Oryctolagus cuniculus: one gene and its partner. The protein of the gene in region 1 purifies or fractionates together with the protein of each later gene. This does not show direct contact. Links are inferred from orthologs where the notes say so. Each region holds a gene or a part of one and is shown on either strand. Other genes may lie near its edges.

Region 1 (4,308 bases):
TCACAGTGACACGTGCCCTGTCCTCACTGCCCTGGGCCCCCAGCACACATGAGGTCAAGGGCATGGGACACCCACCAGGCCCCTGAGGTGTCCCCCACCAGCCTACGGAGCCGGGGTTCCACTGTCGGCAGCCACCGGGCCCAGCTACACCCCCAGGCCACCCCACCCCACCGTGACCAAAACGGAGCACCAGCCCATCTGGGCGTCAGGCTCTCATCCCTGCTCGGCTCCGTCGGCCACTGCAGCCTCACCCATCTACCTGCAAGGCTCCTCTCCCCTGTCAGCCCCTCCCCCCATCAAGCATCCCGGCCTGGGCTCCTGGGTGGGGCAGCACCTGTCTCAGGCCCTCCAGGGGAGGGGTCCTGGCTGCCCCCCCAGCCAGCACCTGGCCCAGCTCCTGCCACACAAAGGGGCCAGGAAATGTGAGACGCGTGACCAAGCCAAGGACAGGACAGGACAGGGCGGCCGGGTGACCGGCCTCGGACCGAGGGCTCCGCCTGGCAGGAAGCGTTCCTGGCACCGGGGACAGCGGGGAGCTCACCAGACGCCGGCTCTTCTGGCCCCTCCCACCCACAAAGGCCTCTCGGAGACCAGACGTCCAGCGGGACCTTGTGCCTGCAGCTCACACGTTGGCGTGGGACACAACCACGAGCACCCACCGGCCAGCAGGAAAACCATGGGAGGAGTCAGCCCGGGGAGGACACACCCACGCAGACAGCCCCCAGCCACCATCTGCACGGGGCAGGGGCAGGACTCAGACCGGCCCCACCTGGGTCCGGGCGAGCGCCTGCCCAGGACGCAGCCTCGGGTGCACGTGGGCCTGCATGACCTGCTTGGGGCCGATGAGGAGGGGCCGATGAGGGGCCAGCGCTGGCTGGGGCCTGGGGCCTGGGAGAAAGCACCCCTCGCTGTCCCATCAGTCCCCACTGCCTCACCAGACCCCAGCTGCGAGGGCAGGGCCGGGGAGTGGCAGGGCGGGTGGGTGCGAGCTGCCACGGTGGCTCCCGCGCTGGTCGCGCTGGTCTGGGGCCCAGCTGGTGACCTTTGCCGAGGCTGCTGGGGGCGGCAGCAACGGCTTTCCCTAGCACAGGAACTGGCTGCCGAGAATTCGGGTCCAGACCTTCAGGCCCACCCCTGGTCTGCCCTGGACAGCAAGAGGAGCAGAGCTCCGGTGCGTGCAGAGCCATCCGCCACTGCATCACCTCCACCGGGAGCCCTCGGGGATTACGACAGGCGCCTGAGCAGGGGGAAGGGGAGGTCTTGCTCCCAGACACGTGCTGCATGCCCACGCTCGGGGGACACTCGCCCGGCCAGCGGCTGGGGACGCGACGGTCTCGGGTGACCGGACCCAGGAAGCCGCAGCGCCCTCCTCCCACCCTCACCCCGCCCCCTCTCCCACCCGGCTCTGTCCCGCGGCCGGGGCTCCGGGCGCCGGGGGCGGGGCCGGGCCGGGGGCGGGGCCGCGCTGTCCTATAAGCGGCGCGGAGGGGGCGCGCGCCCGGCCAGAGAGCGAGCGCGCACAGCGGCGGCGGCGGCGGCGGCGACCCCTCCGTGCTACCGGCCAGGCCTCCCGCGCCCCGCGCCCCGCGCGTCCCGCTCGCCGCGCTCCGAGCCCGGGGCTCGCCGGCCCCCGCCGCCCTCCAGGCCCCGCGCCCGGCCCGGCCCCGCGCCCCGGCCCGCCCGCCGCCCAGGCCCGGCCCGCGCCCGCAGGCCGCCCGCCGCCCGCGCCGCCATGGGGGTGGAAGGCTGCACCAAGTGCATCAAGTACCTGCTGTTCGTCTTCAATTTCGTCTTCTGGGTGAGCAGCGGGGCGGGGGGCGGGGCGCGGCCCGCCGAGGGCAGGCGCGCAGGCCGCGCGCTAGGCCCCGCGGAGGGGGCGCGGGCGGCCGTCGAGTTGCGGAGCCACCTGTGGGCTCCGGGCGCGGGTGGGGGGCGTCCAGGGCCGCCGAAGCCCCTGGCGGCGGGCCCGGCGGCGGGGACCTCTGCGTGTCGGGGCCCAGCCCCGCGGCCCGGCGGAGCGTCTGGGTAGGGGGCGCGGGGCTCTGTCCGCTCTGTGCCCGGGACAGGTCGGCGCGCGTGGCCCGGAGCCGCGTCCCCAGCCGCAGTGCCCGGGACCACCCGGCGTGGCGCGGGCGGAGGGGCTTGCCCCGCCCCCATGAGCTCATCGGGGCCACCGCCCCGGAATGGGCCGCGAGGGGAGGGGGCGCACGCTCTGGGCCGGCGCCTGGGGCCCTTCTTCCGCGCCGCGCCCTGAGGGCAAGTCGCCCTCTGGTCCCTGGGGGCAGCGCACCGGGGTTCCTGGGGGCCCAGCGCCCCTCTTCGCTGGCGCTGCGCGTCCGGTCCCGCCTGGCCCCGGGGGGCTGTGGACGCTCGGGGCGGGGAGGGCCCGCGTTGGGGCGGAGGGCGGCACGGGTGCGGGCTGGGGCTCCCCGCTCTGCAGGGAGGGGTCGGCGCGGGCTGGTCCTGGGGGAACTTTCTTGGCTGCCGGGGAGGCGGCCCGTGATGTTTTCGCCTTTTGTTTCCATTTCCTGTCGGCCCTGGAATTGGGGGTGGGGGGTGGAGAGGCCGAGCGCGGTGGGGGGGGGCCAGACGGCCGGCCCCTGCCCCTGCCCCTGCCCCTGCCCCCCGGGTCTGGCCCTTCCTGCAGGGCACTGGGCGCCGTCCTGGCAGGCTCCGCACTCCCCAAGTTGAGGCAGGAGGGTCAACTTTTAGCGCGGGCCCCGGGACATCTGCTTCGCATCTGGACAGCTGCCGGGCCAGCGAGGACCTCGGGCAGGGAGAACAGAGACAGGGCTGCCGGCTCCGGGGACACTGCGCTCCCGCGTGGGGTGGCGGTGAGGCCATCTGGCCGGCCCAGCCTGGCCCTGGGGCCTTGGCCAAAGAGGAGGTGGCATCTGTGTGGGTCAGTGTTTGCCTGCCAGGGCCCAGACGCGTAGGAGGTGACGGGCACAGGGGGCGTCCCTCTGCTGGCCCGGGGAGGGGGGTGACGGGATGGGGGCGGGGCCTCCTCCTGGAGATGTTTGTGCCTTGGGCTGTGCAGCAGTGCCAGCAGCTGGGAGATCTCCGGGGGCGCGCCCCCCAGGGAGCTGGGCCGCTTCCCGGTTGGTGGAGGCTGGAGCACACCCCCCGGGGCGCTGGTTCCGAGGCCCCTCCCGCCCGGCCTGTCCCGGGGGCCCCCACCGGCCTGTCCCCGGGGCCCCCACCCGGCTCCCTGCACTGCAGAGCCCCCTCTGAGCGGGGTCTTCGTGGACTTCCTGGTGGCTGGCAGGCTGCTCGTGTGAGTGAGGGGCTTGGCGCAGGGACGGCTCCGGAAAAGGAGGCTGGGCATGGCAGCCGCCGTGAAGCTCGGCCAAGGAGAGCCGGGCCGGGCCTGGCCCAGGAGGAAATGCCTGGGCGCGGGGGTGCCCGCCCCACGGGGCCTGTTGTGGATGGAGGGCCCTGGGGGCTTGCGGGGGTGTGGCGGGACAGGTGGGCACTGCACGTCTGGATGGGCGCTTTGTAAGATGTTTATTGGGAAGTCAAAGAGGCAGAGAGAGACGCCCGTCCTCTGATTCGCTCCTCAGACGCCTGCAGGGGTCACGCCAGGCTGAAGCTGGGGAAGCCCAGTCCAGGGCCCCGCACCTGCTGCCCTCCCAGGGTGCAGCTCGGCAGGCAGCTGGAGCCGGCTCTCAACCCAGGGCTCCCACATGGGCTGCGGGCGCCCCGGGCGGCATTGTCAGCCTTGTGCCAGGTGCCGGCCCCTGCGTGGGGCACTTTTTAAAAGTCCCATTTCAGGAGCCGCCTCGAGGGGGGAGGCAGCCGTGGGAGCCTGGCAGCCCCGGGGAGGAAGGTGTCCCACAGGTGCTCGTCTTCCTCCCATCGCTGGCCATGTGCAGTGAGGCGTCCTGGCCAGCGAGGTCGTGGGCTCCCCGGCGGCCCGAGCAGAGAGCACCGTGCGGATGCCCTTGGGCTGGGTCCCGGAGCTCCTGGGATGGGGCAGGGGTGCGTAGAGCTGGCCTGCACGGCAGGTGTGACGGTGGCCAGGTGTCCTGAGAGGTACAGCCGGTGGCTGCCTTCCAGTGGCAGATGAAGCCCTGGGAACAGGCGCTCGATTTACTTCTGCCAGATGGCACGTGACCGTCCGTCACCCCGCCAGCGCATCTGCTCCCTGCCTCGGACGGCGACCCCAGCAGGCTGTGTCGGGGGGACTCGGCACGGGGGCGACTGGACTCCCCCAGTGCCCCCACACCGACCCCACGCCGGGGAGACAGCCATTCGGCCCGGCCTGCAGAGGAGAGAGTGCATGGTTGCGCCTGCGTTGGGTCCTCA
Region 2 (4,174 bases), on another chromosome or scaffold:
GGTAGCTGGGGACATGGAATGGGGACCCAGGCTTCCCAACTCCTTGTGCTTTCCCATAGGAGTCGGATGCGGTGCCCGGGAGGTGCTGGTCCCCGAGGGGCCCCTGTACCGCGTGGCTGGCACGGCTGTCTCCATCTCCTGCAATGTGAGTGGCTATGAGGGCCCTGCCCAGCAGGACTTCGAGTGGTTCCTGTACAGACCTGAGGCCCCAGATGCTGCCCTGGGCATTGTCAGTACCAGGGATACCCGGTTCTCCTACGCCATCTTCGGGCCCCGTGTGGCTGCCGGTGAAGTGCAGGTGCAGCGTCTCCAGGGTGATGCTGTGCTGCTCAAGATCGCGCGCCTGCAGGCCCAGGACGCAGGGATTTACGAGTGCTACACACCTTCCACTGATACCCGCTACCTGGGCAGCTACAGCGGCAAGGTGGAGCTTCGAGGTACAGGGCCCTGGGATGGGGCAGAAAGTCAGGGCCAGGTGGGACCTATCTAACGCAGAGAGGCTAAGTGACTCACAAAGTCACCCGTGGTGGCTGGGGTGGGACTCAAACCCAGATTCCTTCATTGCAGTCCACTGCTCTCCTAGCAAACTCCCTCATGGGAGAAGGGCAAGTGTGTCTAAGCTGTGCTGTCTACTCTCCGCTCCCCAGTAGGGCGGGGCAGCCTGAGGGGCTGAGTGGGCTGTACTCCTGAGAGTCCAGAGGTGGGGTAGGACTTAGACCAGCTGACATTCTTGCCCTTGTACACTTGTTGGTGTTTTCTCAGTATTTCAATGTGGGGTTGCTCTGGAACATAACGGTGAGTAGGCAATGGGCTGGTTCTACCAAATTCAGCAAGTGTTTATTGAGCTGCCGTGGTGTGCCCAGTGCCATGCTTGGCACCACTGAGTTACAGAAGAACTAACACAACATGCAGTCTCTGCTCTCCAGGGGCTCGCGCTGGTCTGCTTAGGGAAACAGGACAAGAGCTGCCAGCTCCCGGCCCTCCCTCACTCCTTCTCCCCTCTCAGTTCTTCCAGATATGCTACAGGTGTCTGCTGCACCGCCGGGGCCCCGAGGCCGCCAGGCCCCAGCCTCCCCTCCACGCCTGACAGTGCACGAGGGCCAGGAGCTGGCCCTGGGCTGCCTGGCGCGGACGAGCACACAGAAGCACACACACCTGGCCGTGTCCTTTGGACGAGCCGTGCCCGAGGCGCCCGTGGGGCGAGCGACTCTGCAGGAAGTGGTGGGACTTCGTTCCGACCTGGCCGTGGAGGCCGGGGCTCCCTATGCTGAGCGGCTGGCTGCAGGGGAGCTGCGGCTGGGCAAGGAGGGGAGCGATCGGTACCGCATGGTGGTGGGGGGCGCGCAGGCCGAGGACGCGGGCACCTACCACTGCACTGCCGCGGAGTGGATTCAGGATCCTGATGGCAGCTGGGCCCAGATCGCGGAGAAGAGGGCTGTCCTGGCCCAGGTGGACGTGCAGACGCTGTGTGAGTGCCCACACCCCCACCCTGGAGCTCCAAGGCCCGCTGTCCTCTCTCCCAGTGGACTCCAAGCCACCTCTGACTTCAGGGAACTCATTTTCCAAAGAGCGGGTGACCCTGTCAGCTTCGTTTCCCTCTCCACCTGTGACAGCTTTTCTCTGCCCAGGTGTTAGGGGAGGAGATAGCAGGGCCATGGCTGGGGATGAGCATCCTGTCCCTGGGCGCAGGAGATGGTGACACCCAGTGAGGGGCAGACAGGAGGCCTCCAAATTGCTGCCGTCGGGGAAGGAACCACAGTTGTGGAGTCGGGTGCCACTGTGACATTCTTCTCCCCTCCCGTGTTTCAGCCAGCCAACTGGCAGTGACCGTGGGGCCTGGAGAGCGTCGCATCGGCCCAGGGGAGCCCTTGGAGCTGCTGTGCAACGTGTCCGGGGCACTGCCCCCACCAGGCCGTCATGCTGCGTACTCCGTGGGCTGGGAGATGGCACCTGCAGGGGCACCGGGGCCTGGCCGCCTGGTAGCCCAGCTGGACACAGAGGGCGTGGGCAGCCTGGGCCCTGGCTACGAGGGCCGGCACATTGCCATGGAGAAGGTGGCGTCCAGGACCTATCGGCTACGGCTAGAGGCTGCCAGGCCTGCTGATGCAGGCACCTACCGCTGCCTCGCCAAAGCCTATGTTCGAGGCTCTGGGACCCGGCTTCGTGAGGCAGCCAGTGCTCGCTCCCGGCCTCTCCCTGTGCATGTGCGGGAGGAAGGTGAGGGGCTCATAGAACCTTCTGTTTCCATGCCCTCTCCTTGTTCATCGGCCTCATGCTCCTCTTCCACTGTAATTATGGGGATACCCTGAGTTTCCTGGGACCTAACCCCCTGTCCCTGCCCCTCCGCCCTCTGATTCCTGTCCTCTGTTTTGCAGGTGTGGTGCTGGAGGCCGTGGCATGGCTGGCAGGGGGCACAGTGTACAGGGGGGAGACTGCCTCCCTGTTGTGCAACATCTCTGTGCGGGGCGGCCCCCCAGGGCTGCGGCTGGCTGCCAGCTGGTGGGTGGAGCGACCAGAGGAGGGGGAACTGAGCTCTTCCCCTGCCCAGCTGGTGGGCGGCGTGGGCCAGGACGGGGTGGCAGAGCTGGGGGTCCGGCCCGGAGGAGGCCCTGTCAGCGTGGAGCTGGTGGGGCCCCGAAGCCATCGGCTGAGACTGCACAGCTTGGGGCCCGAGGATGAGGGCGTGTACCACTGCGCCCCCAGTGCCTGGGTGCAGCATGCAGACTACAGCTGGTACCAGGCTGGCAGTGCCCGCTCCGGGCCCGTCACAGTCTACCCCTACACGCATGGTGAGTGGGCCCCACCCTCCAGCCCCTGCCTCATTGTCCCTTTCCTGCCTCTGAGCCTCCTGCCGCCATCCTCTCTCTCTCCTCCATGTAGCCTGCTGAAAGGTCTCGGGAACCCAGTGTTTGCCCCTTGCGCCCACCTGTACCCACGTCCTCATATGCGGAGAGGGCAGCAGTGGGCGGGGGAGGGACCGTGTGCACAGGGGAGCTGGGGGATGAGCGTGACGGTCGGGGGTGGGAGACGAGGGCACCCCCTCTGAACTGAACCACCCTCTCTCACCCAGCCCTAGACACCCTGTTAGTGCCCATGCTGGTGGGAACAGGGGTAGCTCTAGTGACTGGCGCCATCGTCCTTGGCACCATCACCTGCTGTTTCATGAAGAGGCTGCGGAAGCGGTGATCCCTCACTCCCCAGGTGAGGGGGAAAAACAGCCCCCACCCCATCTTGTCTTCCTTAGGACTCCTGCCCACAAGTCCTAAGCTGAACTACTCCCTCCCCACCTGGGGGAAGAGGAGGCTGCTCAGCTCTGCAGCATCCCGTTAGGGAGGGAGGCCCGCCGGCCCAGGGCTCTCTGACCTCAGCCCCCTCCACGCTTTCTCCAGTTCTTGCAGGTGTTGACTGTCTTCTGGCCCAGCTCCAAGCCCTCTGTCTGGTTGCCTGGACACCCTCGCCCGCTGCCCCCCTCCCTGTTAATTTATTTGACCTACTCTCCCAACCCAGAGTGGGAGACATGGCCCCTACTTCCCACTCCTCACCTCCCAAACGCCTCCCTCTGGCTGCCTGTTCTTGATCTCATACCTGCCCCCTGGGGAGGCCATTCCCTGTCCCAGTCCCAGAATTAGTTTTTCTAAAATGTGAATAAACTGTTTTATACAACCCAGGCCTGGCTGTGTCTTCCCCCAGCATGAGGCTGTAGGAGGCTGGGGCGGGGTGGGGTGGGGTGGTAGGCAGGTTGGGGCCTGACAGCCTATTCTGGACAACCCAGGCTTCTCTCCCCACCACAGACACCATCTGGCCTCTGTGGGCTGTGCCGCCCACTCCAGGAGGGGACACCTGGGTCCCATCTGTTGCCGGAATTGTCAGTGTCGAGCCAACTCCTCACTGGGCTTCTGCTTGGGAGAGAGTATGGAAAGGGAGGGGGAGTTCTGGCTGAGCTTTAGCCCTGCCCTCGCCATCCACCCATGTTAGAGGGCAAGGGCTTCCGGGGGGCGGGGCCTTTCCTGAGCTCCCCAGACTCCTCCACTCCCCTCTGCCAGGCTCATTCTCCTGGTCAGGCTAGTCTTAGACCTGACTCCTCCCAGCAGCCCCTGGGGCATCTTTTTCCTCCTGACCTTAATTATCCTGTCTGGCAGCAGGACAATAGGAGCCCAGAGCGCAGCCACCTGGG

Evidence for each region. Proteins that work in one complex are often made in the same cells at the same time.
Region 2: the proteins of CD81 (region 1) and IGSF8 purify together in Homo sapiens (co-immunoprecipitation; 3 studies listed by BioGRID and IntAct, with this or other methods). This does not show direct contact. The link is inferred for Oryctolagus cuniculus from reciprocal best matches to the Homo sapiens genes CD81 and IGSF8.

Annotation. Positions count from the first base shown.
Region 1 is NC_091432.1:1,172,524-1,176,831, reverse strand, and holds the start of CD81 (CD81 antigen), read left to right. Parts: upstream 1-1,505; 5' UTR 1,506-1,732; coding exon 1,733-1,798; intron 1,799-3,017; exon of another isoform or gene 3,018-3,277; intron 3,278-4,308. UniProt on the Homo sapiens protein: Structural component of specialized membrane microdomains known as tetraspanin-enriched microdomains (TERMs), which act as platforms for receptor clustering and signaling.
Region 2 is NC_091438.1:38,828,301-38,832,474, forward strand, and holds the end of IGSF8 (immunoglobulin superfamily member 8), read left to right. Parts: intron 1-59; coding exon 60-437; intron 438-1,006; coding exon 1,007-1,468; intron 1,469-1,809; coding exon 1,810-2,217; intron 2,218-2,375; coding exon 2,376-2,789; intron 2,790-3,070; coding exon 3,071-3,186; 3' UTR 3,187-3,201; intron 3,202-3,389; 3' UTR 3,390-3,663; downstream 3,664-4,174. UniProt on the Homo sapiens protein: Member of the immunoglobulin superfamily (IgSF) that links tetraspanin-enriched microdomains to the actin cytoskeleton and plays several important roles in innate and adaptive immunity.